4 linked regions of the Tamandua tetradactyla genome follow. The protein of the gene in region 3 interacts with the protein of the main gene of each other region in a pairwise test. Links are inferred from orthologs where the notes say so. Each region holds a gene or a part of one and is shown on either strand. Other genes may lie near its edges. The genes, in order: KPRP, OTX1, TNS2 and CRKL.

What was found.
Region 1: the proteins of TNS2 (region 3) and KPRP interact in binary tests that used the Homo sapiens proteins (3 or more experiments, as listed by UniProt). The two-hybrid records come from large-scale screens. The link is inferred for Tamandua tetradactyla from reciprocal best matches to the Homo sapiens genes TNS2 and KPRP.
Region 2: the proteins of TNS2 (region 3) and OTX1 interact in binary tests that used the Homo sapiens proteins (3 or more experiments, as listed by UniProt). The two-hybrid records come from large-scale screens. The link is inferred for Tamandua tetradactyla from reciprocal best matches to the Homo sapiens genes TNS2 and OTX1.
Region 4: the proteins of TNS2 (region 3) and CRKL interact in a two-hybrid assay, tested with the Homo sapiens proteins (2 studies listed by BioGRID and IntAct). The link is inferred for Tamandua tetradactyla from reciprocal best matches to the Homo sapiens genes TNS2 and CRKL.

The regions. Positions count from the first base shown.
Region 1 is NC_135330.1:2,486,790-2,494,619, forward strand, and holds the start of KPRP (keratinocyte proline-rich protein), read right to left. Parts: upstream 3,007-7,830; 5' UTR 2,981-3,006; intron 2,571-2,980; exon of another isoform or gene 2,244-2,570; intron 1,653-2,243; 5' UTR 1,625-1,652; coding exon 1-1,624.
Region 2 is NC_135343.1:35,958,653-35,966,260, reverse strand, and holds the start of OTX1 (homeobox protein OTX1), read right to left. Parts: upstream 3,001-7,608; 5' UTR 2,913-3,000; intron 2,548-2,912; 5' UTR 2,507-2,547; coding exon 2,477-2,506; intron 876-2,476; coding exon 668-875; intron 1-667. UniProt on the Homo sapiens protein: Probably plays a role in the development of the brain and the sense organs. Can bind to the BCD target sequence (BTS): 5'-TCTAATCCC-3'.
Region 3 is NC_135333.1:114,410,814-114,418,594, reverse strand, and holds the start of TNS2 (tensin-2), read right to left. Parts: upstream 3,003-7,781; 5' UTR 2,960-3,002; coding exon 2,885-2,959; intron 1,112-2,884; exon of another isoform or gene 1,023-1,111; coding exon of another isoform or gene 1,017-1,022; intron 332-1,016; exon of another isoform or gene 34-331; coding exon of another isoform or gene 1-33. UniProt on the Homo sapiens protein: Tyrosine-protein phosphatase which regulates cell motility, proliferation and muscle-response to insulin. Phosphatase activity is mediated by binding to phosphatidylinositol-3,4,5-triphosphate (PtdIns(3,4,5)P3) via the SH2 domain.
Region 4 is NC_135331.1:26,757,516-26,764,736, forward strand, and holds the start of CRKL (crk-like protein), read left to right. Parts: upstream 1-4,211; 5' UTR 4,212-4,309; coding exon 4,310-4,620; intron 4,621-7,221. UniProt on the Homo sapiens protein: May mediate the transduction of intracellular signals.

The sequences.
Region 1 (7,830 bases), on a different chromosome or scaffold from region 3:
GCAGGCATGGAACTGGGGAATGGTTGAAAGGCCTCACACACGGCTCTGGACTTGGGCAAGGTGTTGGGAGAGGAATTGGCTCTACAAGTGAGCAAGGACCTGGGCGCTCGCACGACTGCTGACGAGGAAGCTGGGCTGGACGCTCATACTGCATCGGGCGAGGACGTGGGGCTGGGCGCGGTGCCGGACACGGAACCGGGGGAGACACCGGGCGCGGTGCCGGACACGGAATCGGAGGAGATACTGGACGCGGTGCCGGACACGGAATCGGAGGAGATACTGGACGTGGTGCTGGGCACGGAACCGGGGGAGACACTGGGCGGGGTGCCGGGCACGGAACCGGGGGAGACACCGGGCGCGGTGCCGGGCATGGAACCGGGGGAGACACCGGGCGCGGTGCCGGGCATGGAACTGGGGGAGATACCGGGCGCGGTGCCGGACACGGAATCGGAGGAGATACTGGACGTGGTGCTGGACACAAACAGGGTTCTGAAAGTCGACGTGGCAGAGGTCGTGGGCAGGGCTCCGGGCGTAGCTGTGGACGTGGAGCGGGCAGGGGACGTCTCTGCATCGACGGCTCTGGACATTGGTCAAGACGCCGTGGCTGACGTAAGCGTGAACTAGGGAGTGGGTGTGGCCTCAGCTCCGGGCAGGGGGCACTGGAGGGTCTCGGGGCACAGTTCTCAGAGCAGCGTCTGATGGGTGGAATCTGCACAGGACACTTCTGGGGTGGGACCTGCTTGGGGCAGCATGGGGAGGAGATCTCCACTCGGCACCTGGGCCTGCACCTCTGAGAGCTTCTTGAAACCGGGCCTCGAGAACAGCCGCTGCTGTAGATGGGCTCGGAGCGGCGGGGCGGGGTGCAGGAGTTATAGCAGCTGTAAGAGCATCTTGCTGGCAGGCAGCTGCTGGAGTAGAGCTCAGAGCGCCGTGGAGGGGAGCAGCTGCGGTAAGAAGGCTGCAGCTGACGCGGAGGGAGGCATCTGCTGGTGCTCCGAGACCGACGCTGAGCAGAGAAGCCCCCATAAGAGCCCTGGGCCTGGTATTGGGGTGCACACCTGCTCAGTGGGGCCTGGAACTGGCGCTGGGGGACACAGTAGCTGTAGCCAGCTCGTGACTGGACCTGGGGGCTGTAACGGCTGTAGGAAGCTCGTGGCTGGAATTGGGGGCTGCAGCTGCGGTAGGAGCCCTGATACTGGCACTGAGTGGAGAACCTTCCCTGAGTCTGGGGCACTGGGGGACACTCTACGTAAGAGTGAACAGGCCGAGGAGCGGGGCAGGAAACGTAGGTCTGAACCGGGTATTCCACACCGCTAGGTTCTGTGTAATGAACGGGTGTACATTCTACATAGCACGTCTCGACAGGGCACGGAGCTTCGCACTGCACGTAGGAAACCTCGGGCTGGCGTGGAGCCTGGCCCTGAGCACAGGAAAGCTGAGACTGGCACGGAGCCTGGCACTTCACCACTTGAATTGGGCATGGTGGGGGGCACGCCACCATTTTTATCTCCCCAGGAGCTTGGGCTACCACCTGGCTCTTGGTACAGGCGCGCTGGGGGGTGCAGAAGGAAGAACCCTTCACACAGCACTGCGGCTGAGGGCAACTCTGCTGCTGGTCACACATGGTCCTGATGTGGGCAGGTGAGCGGGACCTGAGGGCAAAGAGAGGGTCAACAGGGTGACAGTGGCTGGAGACGAGGGATCAGAACCTAAGGGAAGCCGCTCTGTTTCTTCCTTGGCCTTTCCCCCCACTGCCCTCAACCTCTACCCAGTTAAATGTAATTCGCAGTCAAGTTCCGTAATCCCCCGTGGAGGCTCCTTTGTAAGTCAGCAGGGCCCAGGACTGTCCCCCTTGTCCGTGAGGACAGGAGGCTCGTGCCACCTCCACAGCCCCCAGGGGCGGGGGGCCCCGACAGGAGGTAGAGGCAAACCCCGAGCTCCTCAGGTGAGCCCTAGGAGGAGACACCACCCACTAGAGCACAGCTTCCCTCACATGCATGCACCACAGCATCTGTGCAAAAGTGTGTAAAAGTACGCACTTGGAAACTTGCACACAGGCACCATCGGGGTTCATGTAACATAAAAGATGCAATTGGGAAGTAAAGGATCCGGTCAGCTATTTGGCACCCCATACACAACCGAAAATAGACTTTTTTCTATATTCAGTTTTTTCTTAGGTGAGCTCATTTAAGCAGGCCCTCTAGGGACATGCATAAAATCTCACACTTAAAAGACACACCAACCTCCTAAAGTCTCAGAACCGGCTTGCCCAGGCGGGTCGCCCTCCTGTCCAGGACTGCCTCATCCCCTGTGCCTCTAGGAGGCAGGGTGGAGTCATCCGGACAGACAAGTCACCAGGAGTGCGGAACCTTCACCACGAGGTCAGCCTCGCCGAGCGCCCAGCTGCCAGACTCTTCCCCGCGTGGCCTCAGGGATGCGGCAGCAAGTCCAGCACCAAACACCACGGGAGGGGACGTGGCGGACCACCCCTGCCCTCCGGAAGCCCACCTGTCCAAGAACGGACAGCAAAAGGCGGAGCCCTGCAGGAGGGCTGATTTGACTACTGGCTCCTATAATGAAAGACTTCTGTGTAAGCTCCTGCAGGGCTGGAAAATGTTTTTTATTGAAAGACAAAGCTTTCCATTCTGCAGTTATAAAGAACACACACACGCCCTGGGAGAAGGCGACCCTCCTACACTCAACTCGGTTCACAAGGTGCAAATTACTACTGTGTCTTTTCCAGGGCGGGCTCATCCAAACGGGAAAAGTGGGATGTGAGGCTGAGGGTGGGATTTTCAAAAGCCAAATCCACCGACTTTACAGCCCCAGGTCCTCAGACAAATGCGACAGGGGGTTTTCTTTGTCCCCTAAAATTTCACCGGACTTTTCTTCTCAGGCTGATGTGCCAGTTGTTCTCAGCCCCCAACTCCTCATTGACCCCTGAGCACCCCCCTTACCCCGACCCAGGACCCAGACTCACCCTTCTCGCAGGCAAGCAGGCACGCAGCTGAGGCTCTGCGCTGGGCTATCCTTATATAAAGGGTTATGGGTCCGGCTTGGTCCATGAGACAACGGGTTGGCATCTGTGTGCCTCATCGGCCAGCCTGGCATTCCAGCAGCGGGCCCCTCCCTGTATGCCTGTCCTCGCAGTCACCTGCCCGTGTGGGAGTGTCACCTCCGTGTCCACGGCCCTGCACCATGAAGGGACAGATCCTCCTTTCCTTCCTCCGTCCTCTACCCTGTCAGTTTCTTCTCCATCCCTGAAAGGCTTGGTGGAAGGGATGGAGAAGGAGCAGAAGGGGACCTTCTCTTCCGAGAGATGCTTTTAAAGCCTTATCTTTCTCCTATGCCAGTTTCTGCCTGATACATACATAGGAGAAAAAGTTCCCTGACTTGAAGTAATGAAAATAGCCTCAAAGTTAAAGCAATACTATGGAATGAAGATAATCTGAGGCCAGAGCCCAGAGTCTGAAGCCCCAGGTAAAGCACTTAAATGGTGTGTGACCTTCTTCACCAACCTTAGTTTCAATGTATTCATCTGCAAAATGGAGGAAATTCAGTCTTCTTTCCTGAACTGCTGTGATGAGTAAGCCAATTATTTTAAACAAAAGCATGCAGCCCATAATTTTATTTACAGTATCCGACATCCACTCAGAGTGAAGGCTGTCTCTAAGCCTCGGGCACAGACCACTGGGCTCCTGCCACATCCCGCTTCTGAGCTAAGTACTTGAAGGCTGCACTGCAGGGACTCAGCCCATGCTATGGAGTAGTCCTGGGAGACAGAACAGTGTAGGACAGAAATTACAGACGGGCATCTTGTGAACCAGATATAGGCAGGATGAGACCTTTTGCCTAATAGGATTTAGAAATGTTGTAATTAATTATAATATAATAGAAATAGGAAAATTTTATTATACTAGAAATAGGAAAAGTTTACTTAAGATTACAGACATCCAGCATTTAACTTAAAATCAAGGATCTGATATAGGTGAACCTACCTTCCGTCACCCTGATCAACAACTGCCCCTCTCAGATAGGGCATGTACCTTTCTCCATTATTTACGTCTACAACTCTCCATTATTTCTTTTCACATCTACAGTTCAAAACAAAGTGTGTTTCCATTTATTATTGCATTCATGCTTTTATTTTTCTTTGATGTTCGAAGGAAATTAAAAGGAAACTTTCAACTTTTACTCTTTACCTGGATCAGTTCGCTTGTTTACGTGACCCTCTCGCCCCTGTAGACATTTAGGATTCTGCTCAAGCTGGTGAACAGACTTCGGATTTAGACATATTGGGAATTGACTCTCAGCTCTAGCACTTACTAAATGGTTGACAGCTATGTTCCTCCATGAGCCTCCTTATCCATACAATGTAAAAGAGGAAAAGATGAAGGGAATGAAGAAGGAAGAGGGAGATGGAGAACAACGGGGAGGAGGAGGAGAGTAGAGAGAAGGAGAAACAGAAGAAATCATAGGAATATTATGTGAATTAAAGGAGAAAAGCGATCTGAATTTAATGCTTAATTAGCCATTTAGTATCAGGGCTTTGTTTCCACATAGGAAGATGGGAGTGATAACAGCCACCTCACCAGGTTCTCAGGAAGATAAAATCAGGTAGGTATGAAAGTGCTTTGTGACCTGCAGTGCTGCACACATGCCAGCTGTGTCTACAAAACCCCTCTTACGTGGAGTCTCTGCCAAGATAGACGTGACTTGGGCGTCTTGGCTCTGGAGCCCATCGCTCATCCCAAAGGGCGCTCCAGGAACCACTCCAGACTTGAGCAAGAGGACAGGTTTCCAGAATATCAGAGCCACAAGGACACCTGGAATTATCTAGTCCCACCCTGTTGAGAACTCTAAAGCCCAGAGACCTTCCAGGGACCGAAAACGAACAGCTGCTCTTGCAGGGACTGGATCCCAAGCATCCTCCCTCCTAGACCAAGTCTCTTTTCCACTCCAATAAGTCATTCCTTTGACAACACAATTTGGTCAAGGTATTCTGTTGGACAGCCCCAGGCTTGATGCTCACTGAAAAGGTAGCCAGGAAAGGAGTAAAAAAAGTAAACTGAGAACATAGGCCTGCTGGCTCCACCCACCATGAGGCAAACTACCGAATCCTATTGACTGCCTCTCCCATTCATCTCCCGACATGCACACACTTCCTGAAGGGAAGGTCTCTACCTTATTCATCTTTGTGTCTCTAGATTTCTTACTTTATATTAGTCAGCGGATGGACAGATGGATGCCATGACATTGGGCTTGGATCATGCATCTGTAATCACTGGAAAATGAATTTATATTGTCTAATCCAGTGACCAAAGAACATAGCCATCCCTATTACTTCATGCTTCTTAGGAAGAGAGGAGGCTGGCTAAATCTTGCCGTTGATGATCAGGCTAGGTGTTGGAGTTTTCAAAAATGTAATTTCAGAGACTGCTCACTAAGCGAAAAGCAGAGGATTAAAGTCCTGGTATTCTTCTTTTTCTGATATGTAGGTTCAAGAATTAGAAAGTTGTTAAAGAACTGGAATTAGGGCTGAATCCTTTAAAGGCAGGTATAAATGTGACACATTCTTTTGTTTCTTTTTTTTTGTTTCTTTGGCATGGGCAGGCACCAGGAATCGAACCCGAGTCTCCGGCATGACAGGCGAGAACTCTGCCTACTGAGCCACCATGGCCCACTGTCTTTTGTTTCTTGAGGTAAAATCTCCCCAAGAACATTCTGTATTCGGAGAGGTCTTTGATCGAAGTAGTTCATTTAGATAAGCTTCAATGGAGCCCTCCAATCTCTGTGAGTCTATATATGTTTTTAGACTTTCAGTTTTTGCTCAACCACCTCAATGTGGACAAAAATAGCATTATCTTCCCATGCATATTTTCTCCTCCCAAGGTCCCATTTCAGAAAATAGCCCATCCACAACCTTTTTCAAATACAATATCTGTGAGTCGCCCTTTATCCTCATTCTGCCTCACTCCAACATGTAATCCTCATGTGCTGTTTATTCTGCTTCATAAATGCTTTCAAACACATCTCCTACTCTCCACCGCTACTGCCCTGCATATCTCAGGCCATCTCTTACATTGACTGATGGACTAGTCTTCTGTTCTTTCTTCCTCCAGAGAAAACATGCATCTTCCAAAAAGCCACAAGAGTGATCTTCCTAAACATCCAAGCTAATTATATTATTTCCTTTGCTCCCGTCGTGACCTGGAAAATGATCACACTCCTTTCCAGGGATACAAATCCCTTCATGGCCTGGCCATAATCTACCCTTTCGTGTTTATGTCAGTCCCGTTGCCATTACCTCCCCACTCCCCTGCCACCCCACAATGACATCAGATGCTGCCGTGCATAACGGTTTTACATGCCGTGATATTTCATGATGCCAAATCTTCTCAAATGCTGTTTTTTGGAATGTCCTTTCCTCTCTCCTCCAGCTACGGAGACAGCTCCAATGCCACCATCTTTGAAATGTTCCCTGACTCCCTAAAGTCATGACTCACTCTGTGTTCTGGAACCCTTTGTACCTGCTCCATCGCTGAAGCACCGTACGTTCTGAGATCATTTACACTCCTGTCTTCCTCACTGAGTATGATTTCTCAAGGAAAAGAAGTTGTGCTTTGTTAATCCTAGTATCCAAGAAATAGGCCCTGTGCCAGAACATTGTGCTCATGTTACGTTGTTGATGAAATAAATTTGATGTTCTAATTAAATTATGAGACTCTTTTTGGGACTTTTGGTCCTTTGGAGTCCTGACGTGCCAAATCTTAAAAGAGCTTAGTGATTTCTTAATCCGGGGAAGTAGGCCATAAACACTTCTCTTCTGGCTGCAAAAGATGTACATTTTCAATAGATTCTAGAAGATTTCTCCTTTTTTATAATTTCGTAATCTTCTTTCACCTGCCCCCGTCACTATAGAAGCCAAAGGTACTGGGACTCATTTCTGAAATGGAGTTGATATTTATCATCTGAGCGGTCTTCTCATATTTCCATGAAATTTCTTAAGGTCTTGTAACCCCCAGCCTTAAGCTTTGAGAAAGTCAGTTTTCTCTGGGCACCAGGGTGCCATTGAGTCCTCCTCCCTAAGTCCAGTTTCAGTAAGTCAGGTAGGTCACCTGGGGCAGAGATAAAGGTAAAACAGAAGTAGCCAGGTTGTCACTGGATGGACGTTAAATAAATGGAGAAAGTATAGAGGGTATTATGGGCTGAATTGTGCCTCTCAAAAAGAGACGTTCAAGTCCTAACCCTAGTCCCGTATATGCGAGTCATCTGGAAATATGACCTTTGAAGATGTTAGTAGTTAAGATGAGGCCAGACCAGATTGGAAGGTAGAGGGCACTGTCCCACATGATGCGTGACTTCATATAAAAAGAAGAGATGTGGACACAGAGAAGGCAGCCGTGGGACGGAGGCTGCCGAGCCCTGCAGACAGCAGGCAAGCACGGTCTTGCGAGCACAGGATGCCTCCAGACTGGGGGGCAACAAATGTCTGTTGTTTTAAGCCACAAAGTTTGTGGTCATTTGTTATGGCCCCTGAGTAAACTAAGACAGAGTGACATGAAGAAAAAGAGGCTGAATTTGGAAATGCGTAAATGAAGAACATTTAGAAATGAGGGTATAAATGTAATGACATAAAAAGTAGAGCTACATTATCTGCCTTAACTCACATTTACGAATTTATAATGTTGCTGTGATTAAGTGAAATATAAATACATCTAGGTTTCATTGGCATGATAAAAAAGGCAGCTTATATCATGTCTGCTCAGCAAGTTGTGTCCCTGCTAGTACAGAGACTCTGGGCTTGTAGAAGAATAGCTATCTTGCAGC
Region 2 (7,608 bases), on a different chromosome or scaffold from region 3:
TGTCCCCTCCAGCCCGCCGCCCCCCCCCCCCCCCTCGCCCCGGCCTGGTGTTGGAGAGGTGTGTCGAAACACCACCGGGAAAACACATTCTGAGGGAATAAATGGGGGTAAAGGAGGAGCCGGAAAAGAAACCCAGGGTTCGGCTCAAGCCTTCCCTTCAGCGGTTTTGGTGCAGGCCGCTGGTCCTGGGCACAATTTCATTAGGGAAGGAGAACTCGCCTACCTCAGCCCAGCCCAGCCCGTCGCGTTGATTAGGAAAATTCGGCCTTAGGGCCAAGCGCTTTTCGTTAGGGCTTAGCAAGTGTCTAGATTCCTCATTCAACGTTGGGGGAAAAGGAATAAATCCACACACACAAAAAAATAGCCACCCGTGGGAAACGAATTCGCGGGTAAATGCGCTCTGCCCTGGCAGTGAGAGCATAATAGGAGACAGGTTGCTCTTGTGGCCGGGCCGGGAAGGTGCTCATCACAAGTTCTCGCCGCCCTGACCCACCTCACCCACCCGCGACGCTGCTGCGGCAGGCGGCCAGCAGTGGGTTCTGTGTTGTGAACAACTAGGTAACTAGCTTCTTGGGCCTTCTCGGCAATAAAAGCATGCGCTCAGAGCCGGTAACCTGGGTGTTCCCAACGTTTGCAGGGGCAGGGGCCCGGGAGGGCGGGTGCTCACCCGGATAACCCACGGAGGGGTGCAGCAGGTCCATGGCCGGCCCCGCCAGGCCCAGCCCGTTCATGCCATATGGGGGTTGTTTGAGGTAAGACATCATGCTAACAGCCGGGTGGAGGCGCCCCGACGGATCCAGGGGGCCGCGGGCCGGGCACGGTGCGGGACTCCCACCGCTCAGTCCTTTGAACTCTGTTGCGTCTGGGGACCGGGCCTGTGAAGATACGAGACACAGGGAAACCGTAATTCAGAGCCACCCCAGCTCCCAAGTCTTGCCCGAGACAAAGATCTGGTTGGAAAGGGGGAGCAAGATGAAGCCCTGGGCAGAGGCATCAATTCTGATCCACAAGGCCCTAAGTCCAGAGACCATAGCCTTGAAAAACGTTTCTGGATGTCGTTGCCTCTGTTCGGAGTTGAAATTGGCCAAAGACTCTGGCAGGACGGCAGGGGGGATTGAGAATTGATGAAAAACCCGGTCAGGCTAAGGGCGACAGCAGGGCCGAAATCGTCCGGAGTGCAAGGTTCTAAAATTTTGAGTCCGGCGGGAGCCGATCTCAGGCTGCACCACCAAACACTCACTCGGCGCCCTGGCCGGCCTCAGGCTGCCAAAGCTATGAGGGGTTGTTTCGTTTTGTTTCAATTGCTTTTGAAAGTGAGATAAAAAGTAAAGATTCCAGAGGGCCAAAGCAAGGCACTGCGAGGACTGGCCGCACGTCGGCCTCTGTGGGACGCGTTGCTCACTCGGGGGCCTGCTCTCCCTCAAGGTTTCCGTGGCTGGGGCCGAGCCCCAGCGTCCGCAGCCAACCCTACAGCTAACCTCTCTGCTCCCAGTCACTGAAAGGCTGTGCCGGAATCTCACCACAGCTCAACCGCAGTTATCCACCTAGGCCCAGCAAAGGCGGTCAAAGGAGGCAGAAGGGGTCACGGTAGAGGTGGCAGTTCCAAGATGAGGCCCGTAGTTCGGGGAACCTCAGCCGGGGCTGTGGGCCTCTATTGGGCGGCGCAGTCTGCGCTTTCTTTCTGCCGGGTCCTGTATAGGGACAATGGGGTCCCGGCCAGGTCTGAAGGCTGATCGAATCCAAAGGGTCTCCGGGATTTGGGAGGCTGGGTTGAGGCAAGCGCCGTGCGCTGCCTGCCTATCCCTACTCCCTGAACCCGCGATCCCGGACCCGACCGAGAACTAGGCCTCAGCGGCGTGGCCCGCGCTGATCCCGGCCAGAAGGTCAAAGCTGCGCTTCCCTAACTGCTCCGAACCCTAGGCGCTATACTCGGGGGTCAGGAAGAGATTCTGGTAAGTTGGATTGGAGCCCAGGAGGCCTTGTCGCTCCACCCCGTTTGGCGGGAACTTTTCTTAAAGCAGGCCTCGGGACCTGGGTTAGGGAGTACCGCAGGAGAAGTTTGAACTGAAGACGCACTACCTCCCCCCATACCCCACCCGGGTCCGCCGGGACCCTCAGCCTGGACTGAGAGAGCCCTGTTCGCCGGGAAGGGGAGGAAGAAGAGGGCAACAGCCGGTACTCTTGGACCAAAGGAGAACCAGATTCAAGCGCGGAGGGTCTGCTAGGCTGCTGCCTTGAGTTTTCAAAGACTTCCTCCAAACTTCGGCTCGGCGACTTCGGAGGAGGCGGGGGAGGGGGCAGAGCGTCGTAGCACCGCTTTGGGGCCCTCCGCACACCTAGAGAGGCTCCAGGCCGCTCCCCCGGCCCCGCCCCATTGCCCAGGACTGGGGGAAGCGGGTACCGCGTAGAGGAGGGGGAAAACAGAGCAATCAATGCGCTCCCGGAGTTCCGCGCGACCCCGCGTCTTTCTCCTTACCTGTTCTCTGCCGCTTCGGCCTCTCACCATCTACACTTCACGCCCTTACAGAGACCCGCCCGGCCGCCAACCTGCAAAACAGAGCCGCACAGGAATTACGCATCGGGCCAGGCGGCTGGTCTTGGACCCCGGGATTTCTTTCTTTCCCCAACTTCCCTCCTCCCATTTCTTTCTTCTTACCCAATGGCTTTTGTGCGTGTTCCTCCAGGTTTCACTTTAATGCACACTTTGTTTGCAAAGCCCTACACGCTCCCGGGACATTGCCTCGCCCAAGACCGCGCCGAGCAGCCGCGAGTGGGGAGGGTGGAGGGTACGGGGGATAGAGTTGGAAGGAGGTTCGCCTTTACAGCTGCACTCTCGGGGCAGCAGGGAGACAGCAGGGCCTGGAGAAGTCCTGCAGAGGCACTTTTCAAACTAAGTAAATCAAGCAATTTACCTGGTCGGAGTAGCTTGTCTTGCTTGGTTGTTTAGGTGATTGGAAATGTAGCTTGATGAAGATTGATCACCTTTCTACTGCCCTCCCCGGGTAAGTGAATGCGAGCCGAGTGCGTAACGGGGCTAGGCCGCCAATCCAGGGCCCCGCGCGGGCTGAGTGACAGGGAGCCGGGCAATGGCAGCTCGAGCCGGGGGTTACCTCTGCGCGCCCCCGCCCTCCCCCGCCCCTTGCACCCCGCCCTCCCCCGCCCTCCCTCCACCCCCGCCCCGGTCGCGCGCTAACTCTGGGGCTCGGTTTGCAAATACCAAACAGATCGAGACGAGGAAGGCGAGAGCAGCGACCAAGCCCAGGCCATTGAGGGGGCGCCCGTCCCGGGGCCTGTCCAGGGGCCCCCACTCCTCTCCCGCCCTCTTGGCGCTCCGAAGGGAGTGGCAGAGGGAGGCGAGGTGCTGGAGAACCGGTTTCTTAGCTCTCCCTTGAGCCCACCCGGCTCGGCGACCGGGTGTGGCCGCGAGGACTCTGGGGCCGGGGGCTTGAGGAGCGGGGCCCCCAGCTTCTCTTGCGGCGCCGCGGACCTCAGCGCCTGCTACCTCTGCGCAGCCACCTGCAGACCGACCCCGGGGGCGGATTGTGCTGGCGCGGGCAACTCTGCGGAGCGCGAGAGCAGCTCCGGGCGCGCAGATCCCTCCTCCGCACCTCAGTACTTTCGCGCCCGGGAAGAGCACCCACAAGGGAGGCATCCCCACTTACCTGCTCCTCGGAGTCTCTTGGGGTTTCCGGTCCCCACGAAGAGTGCTTTAAAATCTTAAACGCTTTTTCGGAGACGTTCGAGTCCAACGTTCCCCCTCTCCACTTCCCCTCCCTCCTTTCCCCGCACACACACTTTACTTCTGAATGGAGAGATTTTGATAGGAAACTTTCTCTTTCCCACTGTCTATTTCTCTCCCTCCTCGTTTCCATTACCAGGGACAGTCTGTTGGAAAATGAGACCCCCTGCCCTCAATTTCTTTTCCACGTGCCGCGGAGTGAGCCTCCTTGAGGCGATTTCACCGGATTGCTCATATTGGCGAAGTCCATTTCCCAGCCGAACAAACTTCTCAAACTCGTCCACCTGAGTGGACTTTTCAAAGCGCCACAAAAGTGCTTTCGCCCCTACTCCTGAGCAAGGTAATTCTTTTAAATGGCACCTCCTCCTATATTATTACTCACGGATTTACTCCCTTTCGAGGAATTCTTACCCTTTTTTCCTAACCCACCCTCCCCTAACAGGCGTAGTGAAAAGTTTGAACAGGAAGGAGAGTAGGTATGCGGGCAAGTCATGGAACCACAAGGTGCATCGCCGTGGCCAGCGCCCGCACGGCCCGGGCCGCTGGGTCCCGCCTCGCAAGCCGACCGGGCTCTGGGCGAGGAGGAGGAGGAAGGGGGAGCTCGCTGAGTGAAAAGGGGCCGCCGCAGCAGCTCATCAAAGTGTTTCCCCCTCCCCCAAGCGACACTTTCCTTTGGAGTCCGAATAAAATACGGTAACAGAATATGATGGAGGGCACACTGTTTCCTTAACTGCTTCTCAAAGGGCCCGGGAGATCTTCTTAGGACCTTTAATAAGGCTTTGGTCGGTTCTTTTGTTGATCTCTCAAAATCAACTCCTTCTAATTGAAGTTGGAGCTGAAAGCGAGCTAATGTTCAAAGAAAGTGGCCGCCAGACCAACGAAATTACATTTTTTTTTTGACGATGAGGGAACATCTAATCAAAGGGGCATGGAAGGAGGGGTGGGAGTGAGGGAGTACGAAGGAGAAAAGGAGGTTTTACAAGATCCTTCTGTGGTTCACAAAAGTCAGCGACACGGGCGCTTCTCTACAGAACAAAGACACCGCGGCTCATTCACAAAAGGGAAAGAGAGAGAGAAAGCAGAATAAAAGAACGAGAGGAAAGGAAAAACATGGGGGGTGGGGTGGGGTGGAAAAAGCTGTAAAAGGAAAAGAAGCTGCGCAGAGCGCGGCGCTGGCCCCGGGGCGGACACACCTCAGGCTCGCCCAAGGCCCCCGTCGAGAGTAGCCCGCGTTTCGGAGCCACGGAGATGGTGCTGAGGTTTAAAGAAAGAAACAAAATACACTCCCCTCCCCCAGGCCCAGGAAAAGACGCCTGCTGGAGGTGGACAAGTTTGGTGGGAGGATGTGTGCGGGACTCCTGGCGTACGCTCCGGCAGCGTCCGCGACCGTAGCCCTGCCCTACCCGGGCCTGTGCGCTCTGTGCTTGGGTTTGGACCTCCCGCTCCGGGGTGCGTGTTCTTGCCCTAGCCCCGCAACTTCGCCTCCTGCCTCCTTTCGGCGCGGTTTTGCCTGCAGCCGTAGCACCGGCCCGGGGATCTGCGCAGCTAAATCGGGCAGCGGTGCGTTCTGGAATGTGCCGGCGCGGTCCCCAGGGCCCGCCGCGCGGGAGTATGGCGCTCACAGCTCCAGATGCTGCCACCGGTCTGGGGGAAGTCGGGAGGTATCAAGTAGCAGGGATTCCCCCCCCCCCCATGAGAGTATTTATCTAATCCCAAATTGCAGGCGAATTTTCTTAATGCTCAGCCCATAAAATCCCGGGATTAAGAGAAGAAAAAAGGGAGGAGAGGGAGGAAAGTAGAGAGGGAGAGACTGAAATGAAAGTTTCCTGTACGAGGCGCAGAGGATTGAGGCGATCGTCGCTAGGCAAACGTCCAGGTGGGAGACGCTGGGCCAGAAGCCACGACTATTTCAGCTACGGCCGCAGCGCGGGGAGGGGAAAAGAGGTCAGCGCTTCGGGAGGAAAAGCGAACCCAGCTCAAGGTCCCCAGGCCGTAGAGAGGGAGAGGGAGTTGGGACCCGGGACCCGGAACCCGCAGCTAAGTAACCTCGAGGCCCGGCCAGATTCTGGAGGACACCGGACAAGGGGAAGGGTTTGGCTTCCGGGCCTAGGGATCCTGGCCAGGGACAGAAGTTCCATAAGGGCCAGCCGGCTGTGCTCAAATCAGCCTGCCGCTAACGCTCCTCCTCCCCAGCGACTCCCGGGCCGTCAGCCTCTCCTCCCGCAGTACGGGCTTTCAAGTTCCCCGGCCCTGGGCGTCCCGGGCCGGCGCCCACGCCCGGCAGAGCGTTCTTGGGCCAGCCGGGCGAAGCCCGAACGCGGCGCCCTCGCCTCGGGCCTGACCCGGCCGGTCCCCGGGGTCTGCACTCCAGCGCCGCCGGTGGGAGTGCAGGCGCCACGGAGCCAAATGGAAGCTCCGCGAGGCTCAAGACTGAGGCAGGTGGGGCGGGAAGCGGGTCGGCGCTGCCATTCCCGACCGCCCTGGCAAATCCGGTGCGAGGACAGGTTTGCACTTCTCAGCTCAGTAGCCCTTCGGGAGGGAAAGTTTCCCCAGTCCTTCGTGAACCGAGGGGGTGACGCTGGCCGCCCAAGCCCCAGGCTGTTCGGGACGGGCGATCTACATCTGCTGGCTTTCCCCGAGTTCTGAGAGCTACCCCCGGAAAAGCCGCGGCTCACTCTGCTCTTCCGTTCGAATAAAAAGGGCAAATACCTGATTTCACTTGGTTCTGATAACTTTTCAATAACTTTTCTTAAAATCCTTGTCATGAAGAAATTCTACCGTAGCAAGTTTTAATTGGCTTTTTGAAAGGCAGCTGGAGTCGGCTACATGCTTTTTCGAACAGAGTTTATGTGTGTACGTGTATGTATATGTGTATATATGGGTGTGTACAAATATATACGTATTTATAAAATCTAGACTAAAATATAAATTCTATTGAAGTGTTTCCTCTGAGTCTCCAGACTTGTTGAACGAGCTTGCTTTGTTTGGGACCCTTCTGTAGCAGAATGACTGAATGGAAATTACCATAAAATCGTCAATTTTTTTTCTGTAACCTGAACTTTTTGTTAAAAGTTCTCTTTCCCTCATCACACACACACCTGCCCACATTATCCACCCACCTCCTTCCCCAACGATAACCCCCTTCCTTTCATTTAAGTTCTTACAGACTGTGGGATATCAAAGACATAGTTCTCCTTAAGAGTGCAAAACTTAACAATGAAAATAAGTAATAATGTGGAAAATACATCAAGATTTTATCATTTTCAGTGAGGTGGAATCACAAATTTCCTCAAATCTTTAACAAAAGAGATGACCCTTTGCCTGGATGATAGTTTATACTGCTAAGAACATATGACTAATTGCTCTTCAATTCACATTCATGTGTCAGCAGGGCCCCTTTGGGATGTTATAAACTTATTCAGCTCCAAATACAGCCGTGCCCTGTCCTGCATTTCAGAGGACCATTTTTCCACATGTAGAGTCTTATGGATACACAAATTCCACTTAGCCAAAGTGTCAAGTTTTCATTGCAAGAAAGCAGCAGCGGTGTTTAAGGTAAGAAAGTTTCTGCTTTTATTGAAAATTTATATGACTCAGTATTGTAATAAATAAACAGATAACCATTTTCACAAAAAAATGACAGTGCTATGTTAGAGAAGAAAATATTAATTGGAGGGATTTACTCAGTGGCAAGACAGATTTCTATCAACACAGAATAAATATTAACAGCATTCTTCAACCAACAAATGGAGGAGCCCAGCTAGATGTAATAAATAATTATCCAGAGAAAAAGATGGTGCATTCTCAGATGATAAGCCTGTCTTTTGTAAAAGGATGCATGTCAATTAGTTCCATCCTCATGCCTCACC
Region 3 (7,781 bases):
GAGCAGCCTCTCCACGGGGCCGCTGGACTTCATGGTGTCCGGCTGGCCGGGTTGCTGGCCGCGGGACCTGAACAATGCTGGGGCCGGGCCCAGGGCTTCCTGGAAGCGGCCTGGCGGAGGCAGCCGCTTCCCCTGGGCGGAGGGTAGGCTGTCTGCCTGGTGCGAGAAGCCCGGCCCTGGAAGTGGCGGGGAGTGCAGACGGGAAGGGGGCAGGTCGCTGCTCCAGGAAGTGGAGGCGGGGGAAGAGGATGTGGGGGAGACCAGGAGATCAGATTCCCAGGATCTATCCTGCTGGGATGTCAGTGCAGGAACCTTTGGGCTCCAGCCTCATCAGCTGCCAGGCCCCTGTGGAGTGTTCCCGGGGTTCATCTTGCTCAGGGATCTACAGCCATGCCCGGTCCTGAGATCCGGCCCCCCATGAGGCGGGGTGGGGGTGGGGTGGGAATCGAGGTCTCAGGGCAGGTCTCAAGGGCCAGTGGGGAACACCGTGTCCAGGCAAGCGTCCCCGCCTGGACTCTCAGGCCCTCCTGGGACTTCCGGTGGGAGGAGGGTGGGACTGGGAACCATGCTGGCTCAGGGTCCGCAGAATGCTGACTGAGTGCATCCTGAGGGGCCCCGAGTGTGGCTCCTGGGAGTCAGGGCAGACGGGACCGAGGGCCAGCTCTCTGCCTCATGTCACTGGTTGTGAAGTAGGGAAAGGAAAACACGCACTGCTTCCCCACCCCGGCTGCCTCTCCACCCCTACCCATTCCAAGGCCAAGTCCCAGCAGGAAGGCTGCGCTGCCCACACGAGTGGTCCATCCTCCAGCCATGGCCCAAGGCATTGGAGGCCTTTCTCCTGAGAGCCCGTGAGAGCCGCAGCTGCTCCCCCCACTCACCCATTGTCTGGGTTGTTTCAGGCCCGACCTGACAGGTCCCTAGCCCCCCACTTTTCAAGTCCTGCAACTTCAGCCTTCCATCCCAGGCCCCCAGCACCGGGCCCTCGCCCCGCTGCCTCCCCAGAGCCTGAGTACTACCTCCATGGTTCTAGCTCTGCTCTCCTCCCTCAGCCGCCTGCGTCCTAGGGCCTGAGGACTGGACAGGAGGTCCCCCTCCCAACACACACTCCAACCCCTCTGTGGGCCTCCTGCCTCCCTCCTGGGAACATGGCCAATTTCCTGTCCTCAGAGTCAAGGGAAGGGGGTGGATGGGCCTTGGAAAGGAGGTAGTAATCTTCGGAAAACATCAGGGTTAATGACCTAAGGGTCCTCAGCCCCAAACCTTGAACCACAGCCCTGTCATTTGAAAGAATGTGCGAATGTGCCCTGCTCTATTTGCATGGCATTTACTGAATGTCCCAGCGGCTCAGGCAACTCCCCCAACTCCAGCTTCTCCCAGTGGGACCCTTCCACTTCCCTCCCCCTCCCTCATGTCCATGTGGTCTGGAGCACACCAAAGACACTTCTGTGGGACTGGATGGGCTGGGGCTAGCCTGACGCCTTTTCCTAAAAGATTCTCCAGGCCAGGAAGTCTGTCCCCAGGGTATCTTGGTCAGTGGGTGGCATCTGTGTGACAAGGCATGGGCCCCCAGCCTGTAACTAGAGAGGGGCTCTGGCTCTAATGCTCTCTCCCCCAGGAACCCTGGCTGGGTCCCAGGACATTCCAGGCCCCTGGCCAGTGTGGGCAACTGGGACTGGCCTGGTCTAGAACGCATCGCTGATTGGGGGAGGAGAGGCACTGTGGCCAGGGGCTTTTCCCTGTTCCTACTGCATATATGACTGACCAGGATCTCTTCTGTAAGCTTCTACTGCTACTGTTTCCAGAGGGGCTGAACAATCTCCTCACCTGGCAGAGCACTTCACGAGGGGACAGGTTCTCAAATGCCCTCTGACCCTAACTGGTCTCAGACTCTCCCCACACAGGCCCAGCAAGGAGCTGCCTGAGCAGTGTTTGCAGTGAGGGAGTGGGGCACTCACCAGCCCCTGAGGTGGGTGGCCTGGGCTGGGACTGACTTGGCTGTGAGTCCTCTGCACCCCCTGTGAAGCACCTCTCAGGGAAGATAGGGATCATGAAAAGTGCCTGAAAGGAAACGCAGCTCAGCGGGAGGGTGGGGGATGGGTGGGGGGGCATCATCAGCCGCCCTAGAGCTCTTGCCTTCCTTCTGCCTGGAACATTCCAGGGCCCTTGTTGGCTCCCGCCTGGCCCTCTCTCCCAAGCTCTGGGTTTGTTTGGAGAAACCCCCTCCACCCACACCATCCCACTTCCTGGAAATAACTGTGGTTGGATATGAGGCTGAGAGCCCAGGGCCCAGCCATGGAAGAAGGGTGAGGCCCAGGGAAGGAGAGATGGAGGCAAGGCCGAGTAAATGGGTGTATCCAGAGGGATCTGAGAACTGAGGGTAGAAGCAGACTGGCTGATGTGTGGAATGGGGCTGGAAAGTCCAATCAGTCTCATCTGTGCCTGCTCTCTGCCTTAGTTTCTCCAGATGTGAAGCAGAAAAGGAAAACACTCGCACACACTTCTCCCAGGCCAGGTCCTGAGTGCCGCTGCCAGCTCCTGCCCACCTGGGTTGGGAACTATGTGTGTCCAGGCAACTTGCTTCACCGTGCCTGTTCCCGGCAACGGCAACGTGTGCGCCCGGGACACGTGAAGCCGTGACGGTCGGAGTGTGACCTCCGGCCGGCCGGGACCCGCCCCCCTGGCCACCTTCCTGGCCTCTAACTTCCTGGCCTCTAACTGCCCTTGACCTCGGGCCCTAACCTCAGCCCAATGGCGCCCACCCCACTCCCCGCGCCCACTCGACCCCCGGCGACCCCGCGCCCCCTGGCGACCGCCCCTGGCACTACCCGGCCGGCCGTGACGCAGATGCCACCGCCCTCCCGCCCAGCGCGGCGCGGCCACTCACCTGCGGGGGGCGCCCGGGGGGGCGGGGGCGCGCCGGGGCGGGGCAGCAGCAGGGGGCGCCTCCGGGCCAGCCCATCCCGCCCCGGCCCGCGCCGAGCGGGACCAGGAGGAGGAGGAGGAGGAGGAGGAGGTGGAGGAGGTGGAGGAGGTGGAGGAGGAGGAGGAGGGAGCGGGCGCGCCGCGCTCGACTCGGCTCCCTCCCGCCTCCACCGCTCCCCGCGCCCGCGGCGGCTCCGTCCCTCCCTCCTGCGCCCCGGCTCCAATCCCCACGTTCCGCCCGCTCCCCGCCCCTCGTCCTCTCTCCTTTCTCTCTCTTCTCCCCACCTTCCACCGCGAACTCAGACTCAAAAAGAGATGGGCAGGAAGAGGAATACGGAGAGAGGCCGAGGCTGGGAAAGATGGAAAGAGACTAAGAGATGGGGAGCGAGATTTTGAGAAAGACGGGTACCGAGAACACAGCGACGGGGAACATCTCAGAGACCGGAGAGACCCAGAAATGGCGACAGGGAGTCCGGGAGAGACTGACCCGGCAGGACACAGGCAAAAGACACGCGCTCCAAAGAGATGCTGAAGAGAAGGTGGCTAGAAACAAGGACAGAAAAACTTGTCCTCCCCCAGGAGTGTTCTTGGGACTGGGTCTGACCCCAAAGCCCCAGGCAGAGCACATCTGCGGCCTGCTGTCTGGGGAGCTCAGATCAGGTGAAGACACCAGGTGTTTGTTTCCCAAGCCGCTGGACACCCTTTCCTGCTTCTCTGGCTCACAGGAAACTTACTGGTGCTACACCGCACCCCCAGGCAGCTCCAGCAGTCCCATCCACCACCTGTTTTAGCTTTGCACTATCATTCCCACTCCCTTGGAGACTTCTACTCAAGAGGGTCTTCTCACATTTAATACAAGCCCTGGGCTTCCCCAGTACAATTGGAAGTTATTACCATGGAGGAGGGATCTGGAGGGTAGGGATAAGGGAGGGAATGTCCTCCTAGAAGCTCTTGAGCCTATTGCCGGTACTAAATTCCAACAACGTTCTTTAGCAGTGAGCACTTCCGGAAACTTTCTCCCTCCTTCACCCTCCCCACTGGAGTTTCCGTGATGAAAACTGGGGTGGAAAGGCAGATTCTGAGAAGCCAGTGTCCAAGGCACAATGCCCAGTGCCTGTCCAAGGCAGTCAGCACTACTAGCTCTGAGGCCCTCTGTCCCTTCCCCCCGCATCTTTCAACTGTGTCCGAGGAGGTGGAGCACCTGATTCCAAGCTGGCATAGGGAAGAGACTGTGAAGACCCCAGAGGCTGGCATTTGGGAGGGGATGGATGTAGCTGAGACCTGAGGAGCTTTGATTTTACCACTTTTGGTTGCATTAGTGTCCAGTAGGCAGGTTCAGGGGTTAGATCAGTGGGGGTCACAGGGGAATGTGAGGGTAAGGAGCTGTGTGGGAAGGGAAGGCGCTGGGGGAAAGGGAGAGGCAGGAGTTAGGAGAAGACTGAAGAGAGCAAGAGATTGAAGATTACTGGGAAAAAGGTCAGAGCTGAAGGTCCTTTTGTGTCTTTTGGCAAGATTTGGTAATGTAATCCAGAGACAAGGTGTGGAAATGTCTTCATTTCTTTGGAGCCTACATTTGCCCCCCCCCCCCCTTTTTGTTAACATTTTGCCCCTTCCAGGGTTCACTAGGATCTTTGGCTGGGGACTGGGATGCATGCCAGGGGGGTAGGCTCTAATCTCTAAAGGTATATACCAAGGGAAATACTGGGACTCAGAAGAGAGAAGTGAGCAGGGCTAGGACCTCACAGTCATGCTGGTATTGCTGCCCAGCCTGGTGGGGCCATAAGAGGAACTTTTGAATTCCCAAGAAGTTGGGAGAGGGTTACAAGATGGGTAGCTGAACCCCTAGCTCAGACATGATTCCTCTTCTCAACATTGTGACTAAGGAGATGGGGGCTGGAGGAAGGAGGGTGAAGGAAGCTGATGAGCAAGGTTGGGAGTGATACAGCAGGTGGTTTAGTGGGGTTGAAATAAAAATGGGTGGTGCAGGGAGCCAGCCAGGTATCTCGATTACCAGCCCAGAGCAGTGGGAGCTTCAGAAGGGAAGAGGAAAGGGAGGAGAAAGCCAGGAGGCTGTTATTAAAAGGGTGAAACAATTTCAGGGGCCCCCCTCCCCCCTCCCCCCTGCAGGTTTTCTTACCTTGACTATGCAGAGGGCAGCCAATCTTGGCACTGAAGGCTGAACCTCCTCTTCCATGATCCGGGGTGATCTCATGCCTGTGACTGGGTGTGGTCAGATCTTTGGTGGGGAAGGGACTACTTTGAGGGGAGAGGGGACATTTAGGGTGTGGGGCTGCCCTGGCTGGAAGAGCACTGGGTCAGGGGAACTTCAGTGGAGGGGTTTGGGCACTGGGAACCAGGAAGAGCGGGGGAAGGGGCAGAGCTGACTCCAGAGGCGGATCTCCCGGCTGAGGACAGAGAGTGTATTGTCCAACCGGGAGGTGGCTGCAGCTGGGCGGGGAGCAGTACAGTTCGACCCTTCCAAACTCCTTCTTTTTAGGAGAGAGGGAGAGGGTGGGAAGGCAAGTCTTCCTTTCACTTGTGGCCCTGGGGGGCTATAGTAGTTGCTGAGGAACAAGGTTTATTTGACAAATTGTGCTTCTGAGGAGCAGATGTGCACAAGCTCTTCCACTTCCTGAGAAGTCAGGTGCTGTGACCTGGTGTGGTACTTGGGGTGACGCCCTTAACAATAACTGGAGCCCTCATTGCCATGGGACCCAGAACAGTACTTGGCTTTGCTTAGGAGAAATTTGACTAGGTGGACTGAAATACACATGGGGCCATCAAACCTAATGACCTTTTAAGTAGGTTGCTGCACCTGTATCCTCTCCCCCCCCCCCCCCCCTTTCTGGTTGCTCAGCATTTACATTAGTACAGAACAAATGGATGGTCCTAGCATCCATTTCTGCAGCTGGACTTATGGGAGGGCCTGCACATTGTTCTATGATTATGTGGGGCATACCAGAGCCAAGTATTTCCTTGAACTTAGGATCTCCTTTTGGGACATGCTACGGGAGTGCCTTCCTCCTTATCCTTTCAAATTAGCCTTTCCCATTGGAGTCCTCCTCCTTTCCACCATTTATCCAGAACTCAGTGTTACATAGGTAGGGAAATCGCTAGAATTGAAGGTTTGGAGAAAAGTGACTGCGTTAACCAAGTGCTCACTTTCCCTACAGTCTGTGCAGGAACATCTTTTTCTTCCTCCCTAAACCCACACTGAAAAGTCTTGCATCATCACAGCACACTGGCCCCTATTTTGTTAGCTTTGGAGAAGAGTGATCAATGCACAGAAAGAATCCTGGAAGAGCAATTGCTTCAATTGGTCCTGCTCAAGGTCTGCAACATTGTCCACTGATTTTTTCTGGTATACCTTCTATACTCCACCCCTTTGTGACCTTAGGGACTCTCTGCCACTGTGCTAATCCATTTCCTGTCTTGCAACAATCGTTTCCCACAGGACTGGTTAAGAAAAAGTGGCCTCAGTTGTGCTAGCCCAGACCATCCTGTCAATGGGAACTCAAGATATAACCCAGCAAGGTAGCAGCTTTGGACTACTTAAGGATAGAGATTTATGGAGGAACTGTTCTAAAGATGTGAAGATTTATTCCCAGACTCTGTATTGTTAAGTATAACAATAAAAAAGAAAATTCGGCAGCCTGGGTGTGGTGTATAAGGGACTCTGTACTATCTAAACAATTTTCCTGTACAATGTAAAAATATTCTAAATTTAAGCTTATTTAAAAAAAAAAAGGTGAGGAAAGGACACCAGGCAAAAAATGCCAAAGGGGCAGCTGGAAGGCAAATTCTGCCCTGGACCTCAATAAGTGTTGAGGAAGATTCCCTTGTAGTTCTATCCTTTGGTCTTACATGAAATGGTACCTAAACCTGAATGAGATGGTGGGATGGTGGGAGGACAGGACAGACAATCAATATTAAGTCCAATAAAAGCCCTGGGAGTACGGGTGTATGTGAAAGAATTTCAACATAAAAATGAACTTTAAAGATCAGATTTATTTGGAGAAAACAAAAAAACCCCACAACCCAAAGGATGGGGATTTTACATCTCAAGACATCTCCCAGGTATTAAGTCTACAGATTACAAATCATTTTCATAGAAGATATTTTTGTACAAATTTTACACGTATTCAGGAGCTGGACATAAATCAATCCCTGTTTCCTGTTTTAACAGGGGGGAGAGGAGGGGATTGGGAAAGAACAGTTTTGGATACAACTATTTGGAAGAAGAGTAGACATGAAGAGGGCAAACCCTACCTTTTCATCATCTACAGCAAATAGTTAAAAAACAAACCAAAAACCTTCCACCCTTGGCTTTCTCTCTCTAAAAGCTCACTTCCTAGCTAGTAGCCAGTCCATGCCAATAATTTAAAAAATTCACTTGGAATACCTTTTATGTCCACTGGATAAATGATTCATTATGTCCACTGCTGCAGCACATGCGAACCAAAACCCTACACGGCTGGACAGGGTATAACCTAGGACTTATGTGAGAAAGGATTGCAAACAAGAGACCAAGGTGTCATTTTTCTGCATGTACCAATACTGCCCATGGCGGGAAGGACACCATCTACCAAGCCGACCCCTGTAAGAGGTGCACACAAAAGCAGGGAAGTTATGCTATTTTGTTGCAAGAGAAACCAGGACCTTGTTAGTTTTCTCCATCATTTATTCTCTCAAGGGAGGCTTAAAAAAAAGAACAAAACAAAAACACACATACACACTGGTTCTAGGCCACATTATAAACCCAAATTGTGGGATTTCAGTAGAGAGAGGAGGAAACTAGTAAAAAAATGAAGTAAAAATAAACCAATCAAGGTTGGAAGAAATGCCCCCAATTTAACTGT
Region 4 (7,221 bases), on a different chromosome or scaffold from region 3:
TACTGCTGACCTTACCAAGTCAATGAAGTGACACATCACGTAATTCCGTATCTGCAGTGTCATTCTTCTCTAACTTTAGCATCATTGCTGGAAAAGAATCAAGGCAAGGAAGAAGGGACAGAGTTTGCTCTTCTCGTGCCTCCAGAAAGGCAGTCTGGATCCAGCAATCCAGGACTGCCCAAGGTCAACAACAGGTCCCAAGGTCCTGTCCTCTGCGCAGAAGCAGGTGCAGGGTTGGTAAGCAAGGAATCCACTTAATTGCTTGAAAAGACTTGTCTGTCCTTTGGGACTAGACTGTGATTATCCTAGAGGAAAAAAGTCTAAGTATAATACCATCTGGAAACCCTGGGAATAAGGAAGCTAAGAGAGAATCATGAACCTATATACATTACACCTATATATTTTGTTTCCTTATCATTTCTCCTTTTGATTATTTTTAAAGTTTGTCTCATCTGTGATAAAGAGGATAAGGAACGTACATTAATTTTTTAATGAGAAATTCCAAACATAACGAAGCAGAATAATATAATTGACCCCCCCCAAACACACACACATCGTGCAGCTTTGACAACTGTGAATATGTGGCCAATCTTTTTTCACCTTTATCCAACTCACACCCTATTCCTTACTGGATTATTCTGAAGCAAAAGGAGAGGTACTTTGTTCCATCTTTAAGAGAAGTTTTTAAAGAGGAGCACATAGCAACTTGCTAGCGGAACAGTGGTGCAGTTGAAATGCAAGCTGGAGACAAATCCAGCAGTCCTCCCTATTTCAAGATTGATATTCCTTTTTGGTGCTAGAATTTACTTGGGAGGGCCTTGGTTTCCCTATCAAACAAAGAATACAGACTAAATCATAGGTAGTTGTGTAACAGTGAAATGGGACTGTGCTGGTTTGAAAGAATGTATGGATCCTAGAAAAGCCATGTTTTAATCCTAATCCCATTTTGTAAAGGCAGCCACTTCTTCTAATCCCTATTCAGCATTGAATGTTTGAAACTATAATTAGATCATCTCCCTGGAGATGTGATTTAATCGAGAGTGGCTGTTAAACTGGATTAGGTAGAGGCGTGTCTCCACCCATTGGGTGGGTCTTGATTAGTTTCTGAAGTCCTTCAAAAGAGGAAACACTTTGGAGAATGAGAGAGATTCGAGAGAGCAGAACAACACTGCCACAAGAACCATCAGCCAGCGACCTTTGGAAATGAAAAAGGAAAACACTTCCCAGGTAGATTCTTGAAACAGGAATCCAGGAGAGAAAGCTAGCAGATGACGCCTTGCTCACCATGTGCCCCTTCCAGCCGAGAGAGAAACCCTGAACTTCATTGGCCTTCTTGAACCAAAGTCATCGGCCTTCTTGAACCAAGGTATCTTTCCCTGGATGCCTTTGATTGGACATTTCTACAGACTTGCTTTAACTGGGACATTTTCTCAGCCTTAGAACTGTAAATTAGCAACTTATTAAATTCCCCTTTTTAAAAGTCATTCTGTTTCTGGTATATTGCATTCCAGCAGCTAGTAAATTAGAACAGGGGCCTTGACTTCAAATCAAAAGAACTGACTTCAGGTTGCCAGCTCTACCTCTTACAAATTTTACAACTTGAAACAAGTCACTTAACCTTTATGAGCCTCTGGAATCTATGAAATGGTACTTTGTGGGACTCTGATTGGATTAATACAATATATTATATAAATTGCTGTGAATTGAAAAGTGGCACATAAATGAGATATTATTGAGTTCTTCAACTAAGTAAAAGATGACTAAGACTTTGAGCTTCTAAATTAGGAAAATGCTGTTGACAGAAAAGGGGGAGTTGACAGAGTTTAATCCAAATGGAAGATTAAACAGAGAGATATGGGGGCTAAGCCTTATGTCCAAATGTGTATTTAAGTACAAGAAAAAACTACACTCTTCTTACTTTCACTAAAATAAACATTCTTCCACTTTCCTCTGGTTTCTTCCCATCATTTTATCCACCTGCATTCAAAAAGCATTTAAGTGTGTCTTATGTGCTAGGCACCGCAAATACAAAAAATACTAGTCTGTCTACCAGATGCTCACAGGTTAGGGAGGAACAGGGATACTTAACAGACAATTAGAATAGAATATGATAAGGCCCATATTAGGCTGTGATCACAGTGTTTGCATAGTAATGATAGGGTGTGGTCAGTTATTGTTCTACTTTTAGAATACAGTATTTCGGCATTACCAACAGACAGGTGACACCTGAAAACTTCATTTCTTAATATGAACCTACCAAAGAAGCTAGACACTGAGTTCCTACACTTACAGAGACAAAAATGCTATAGAAAGAGATGAAATATTATTTGGAGAGTTAAGAAAAAAATTATATTAGTGTCCCAAGAGCCAAAGAAGGAGACTTTTCCTATGGCCAGGGAGATCAACACAATGATGGTTTCAACAGAAAGAAGAGATGGATAAGGTACGGGTAGAAGCCAGGTTAAGAAGGCCTGGGCAAGGAATAAGCACTGACAAAGTGGTAAAATCTGCCAAAGAGAAGTAGCTAGAAAAACAAGCGGAGGTTTTTCTCCCCATCCTAAACCAAGTACCAAGACATCTGCACATGCTTTTAGGCAACTGAAAGCCCAGGCAGAGGCTGAGTAATAGTAACAGAAAACTCTTCTATAATGCTTACCATGTGCCAGGTACTATTCTAAGCACTTCACTTGTATTAACTTGTTTAATACATTTACTGCTACCTAGCGGGTAACAACTATTTTACTATGCCCATTTTATAGTTAAGGAAACTGAGACACCAAATGATTCACTTGCCCAAGGTTGCCCAGACGGTCCATGGACTGACTGAGCCAGGACCTGAACCCAAGCGGTCAGCTTCAAATCCTGTGATATCCAAATTTTACCTGGGACTAACACGAAACGCAAGCATCTTTGGGGAAGAAGAAAACCTACTTATGCTGAGTAACAGAAGGCACTAGACTTCGTATCTCCGCTTTACCCTACACTGGGACCGACCTATCACCCTACAACCTCGGGGATGCAAACGGCCAGTTAAACTCCACTGGGAGAATAATCTGTGAGTGTGTGCTGCCTGCCGCTCCGCTTCCGCACATGCTTTCTTGACTGTCCAGTTCCGGGGGACGGTGCTACCGATCGGACACACCAGTAAGCCCAGTGGTCTCTCCCATCAGTCCCTCATTCAACAGATACTTGGCGTCAGCTGCAGGCCTGGCACCGTGCTGGATCCAGGGGTGAACAAGACACGCAAGATGCCGGCTCTTTCCAAATTTCCAAATCTGTTGGGGAGAAATGGCCGAGAAGGGCGCGGCTGGAGCGGGGTGAGCGAGGGCGACCGGTAAGAGATGGGGCCGAAGGAGGCAGAAACCGGGGCTGAGAGGCGTCTGCACTTCCCCCGCAGCCATCCGGCGCCCGCGGCGTCCAGGCTCGGCCCCGGATGCGGCCTTCGACCCCTGGAGGCCCGCCGGGTCACCAGGCCGCGCTGCGGCCCTGAGGCCACCCCTCAGAGGTCATCTATCTGAGGGTGTCCCCTCAGAGCCACAGACTCGGCACATTACGCTTGACCCTTTGTTCCCTCACGAGCAAGTTTTCGAAGCGCCACTGCCTCTCGCCTCCAGTTGGCCCGGGCGACGCGGCGGCAGCAGCGCCCCCGGCGGCGCTCGGCGGCCCAGAAAGGGAGTGTCCGCCGCAGTAGCCGCCGAGGCCGCCGCCTCCTCTGCCCGGAACGCGGGAGCCGGCGCGAGCGGCGCACGCCGGGGGCGACGCGAGCGCGATCCTGATTGGCTGCGCCGAGTGACGCCACGGGGCGGGCCCCGGCGGCCGCTGGGAGCCGAAGCGCCGCGCGTGCGCAGACGCAGCGCACTGAGCGGAGGGGGAGGTGGCCGGTCCCTTCTCCCGCGTCCGCCATTTTGTTGCTGTGGCTCCCGGGAGCGGGCTGAGCGAAACCGCCTCAGAGGCACGGTGCTCCTCGGGATCCGGTGCAGAGCCGTGGGGGCGCAGAGCCAGCGCCTTCCGAGCCAGGAGGTCCCAGAGGCAACCCCGGCGCGCCGGACTGCCCGAGACCTCTGAGGCCGTCCGGTCCCCGGGCCCTGCCCCGCAGTCCCCGGGTCTGTTCCCCTCAGCCCCCACCCCGCGCCCCGAGTCGGCCCCGGAGCGGGCGGGCGGCGACCGAGGAGGATGCTGCGGGCCCGGCGCCGCGGGGAAGGAGCCGGCGCTGCCCTCTGAGCGCGACTCGAGGTGTGCCGGAGAGGCCGCTCCCTCGGGCCCGCAGCCGCCGCCCCGACTCGCCTCGGAGTCCCCCGGGCCCGACACCATGTCCTCCGCCAGGTTCGACTCCTCCGACCGCTCCGCCTGGTATATGGGGCCGGTGTCCCGCCAGGAGGCGCAGACCCGGCTCCAGGGCCAGCGCCACGGCGTGTTCCTGGTGCGCGACTCGTCCACCTGCCCCGGGGACTACGTGCTGTCCGTGTCCGAGAACTCGCGGGTCTCCCACTACATCATCAACTCGCTGCCCAACCGCCGCTTCAAGATCGGGGACCAGGAGTTCGACCACCTGCCGGCCCTGCTGGAGTTCTACAAGATCCACTACTTGGACACCACCACCCTCATCGAGCCCGCGCCCAGGTACGCGCCGAGACGGGGCAGGGCGGCTCGCTTGGGGCCCGGGAGCCTGGGGTGGGGTGAGGTGGTCTTTGGAGCCCGCCCTGACTCCTCCCCCATTCTTGAGCCGTGTCCTTTTCTCAGGATGTATTCCTTAAAGCAGGCTAGTGTTAGGGTCTGGATCCCTTGGGTGCACATTGCTGTGGCTGCAGGGTTACCATGCTCTTCGCCGCTGGTCGCCTTCTCTGTCTGACCATCCGACCAAATTAGAGGGTTTTGTGTGTGCACGCGGGTTTTATCTTTTTTGGACCACAGGCTTCTTTGCGAATCTGACGATAGCCGTGGCATCCCCCTCCCTCTCCCCACCCCCACCCCCACCCCCCGCCGAAAGTGTATGTAAACAAGTGTGCGCACCATTCCAGGTTCTGCTTCTCTGCAGATCTCTGCGCTCTGGGGTAAGAACTCCGAGAGTGCAGCCTTGATAACAATCGGCAAATGAAAATGCCTGAGCGCTTAGAAACTTTTAAATGTGACCTATCAGACCTGGATACTGATATCCTGGTGTCAGGTGGGGCCAGACAATTATTTTATAATTATAATACTAGTAATACTTGTAAAGGGTGTCTTAGCCTCATCGAGGACTTATTTTAAGTTCCCCACCCCCACCCCAAGTTCTGGGTCATTAATAGGCTACAGATAAATTTGGTTAAATTCCAAGATGGAGTAAAGCTAGAATGTAATTTAGGGGAATGTTTGAATGATACTTGATCTTGTGCTAGTTGAATTTCACATGTAGCTTTTGTGTTAAGCCTAATAGTTTATTATCTATATGAAAGTTAACGTAAAATGACACTGAGCATCAGTTACGTGCTTTTCCAAGTAGAATGCATTATTTTGATTTTTTTGGTCATTTTGTCTTGATAGGTATTTTATATGCGAAGTCTCCTGGGACTTGAAAATTTTTTATTTAAATGATGCCAAATTTGAACTGAGGAAATTGCCCAGAATTTTTAAAATGTATTTTCATTACCCAGTTCTTTTCTTAAACAACATTTTAAAAGAGCAAATTGTTGTTGTAGGTTTTTCAGGGTGAGATTGTTTCTGACGTTCACGAATTTGCTGACAAGATATTACTCAGAAGGTTAAATGTGAACAACTATTATAGTCAGGGAGCACCAACTGGATGCCAGAGTTTTGCTCCTGGTATAGACAGAGAAAAAAATAAAACCATGACAGTATAATGACTGTAAGATTAACCACTATGCGAAAGTGACTTTAAAATCCAGGCGAAAGTGGCTATAAATCAGATGCTGGATAACAAAGACCAGGACACCAAGAATCAAATTGCTGAGGTCTCTTGGTCCCTGCAGATGCTGGTAATTGCAGTCAGTTTTGAACACAGTGGTAAAGTGGACAGAATCGTATTTCCCATAAGTAATGAGGTTTTTTTATCCTTTTGTGTAAATTACTCCCTGATTTCTGAAGGTGAATCATATTATTGATTTCAGGCCTTCGTTAAGCATTGAGCTTCATTGAGTTAATGGTAGTGGTTTGCTCATAGAGAGAGAGAAGTAGATGTAAGTGTGCTGCAGTGGCTTCCCACTACCCACCAACCTGAGTCCCATCTGTCTTCCCTGCGAGGAATGATTTTCTGTCACCATCCTGGTCCCCTCCCTCCCTTCCTTCCTTTGGTGCAGCCCCGCTGGACCGCTGGCTTGAGTCTTGGTAGCCAGCCCGGCTCATGGACCTTTGTACCTTTGCTTTCAGGCTCTTGGCCCTTCACTGACCACTTAACTCTTCTATTTAAATCCACTTATGGTTCTAGTCCTTTCACAAATAATGGAGCCTTCCCTGACCCTACAGAGTCAGCCCCCCCGTTCCCCACCCCCACTCCGTCCGCCACATTCAGTTTTTTTCCTCCCATGCCATTCCCTACACCCTGTCCCCAGCCCATTGCTGTAACAGCAGTGGTTTACCCTTTCCCCATGGCTCTGAGTGCTATTACTTGTACACATTCAGTTGGCTCTTGGCTAGATTTCCTTTGTCACACTGAAGCTTTGGATTGCTTCTCCCAAACCTGAAATCCCATCGATTTGGTTTTTATTAGTCTTGTAGAAAAACCTATCCCTCATCAGCTGATAGCACCTGTCAGCTAATCAGCTAGTGTTTGGCCAAATGCAAAATTAAATGTAATGCCCTAAACAAGGTAAATGAAGTTGTTCAGCTTTTCAGGCATCAAAACAGAGCTCTTTAAGAGCACTTTTTGAGCTAAACCATTTATGAGAGTTACATCACAGGATTTGGGTACTGGTTTGAAAGATGGGCAACAGGCTTCATTTCTTTGGGATGAAACTTGCTTTCTAGTGGAAGAGACAGGCGAAAAGCAGAAAAATAAAACACCTGAAAGAGTAGTAAATACTATGAAGGAAATAAACCTAGGCCAAGTGGCTATAACAGAAGAGGCCTAGCTGAAGTAGCGTGCTCTGCCTGAAAGAAGCAGGCCTTGGGCTGAGTCTTCCAGCAAAGGTGCCAAGGTGACAAATACAGCTGTGTGGGGGAAATGTGGTTCTTAAAGGAGAAGAGGGGATCATAGGAGAAGAGTTTCGGTATACTGGCGGAATTGTA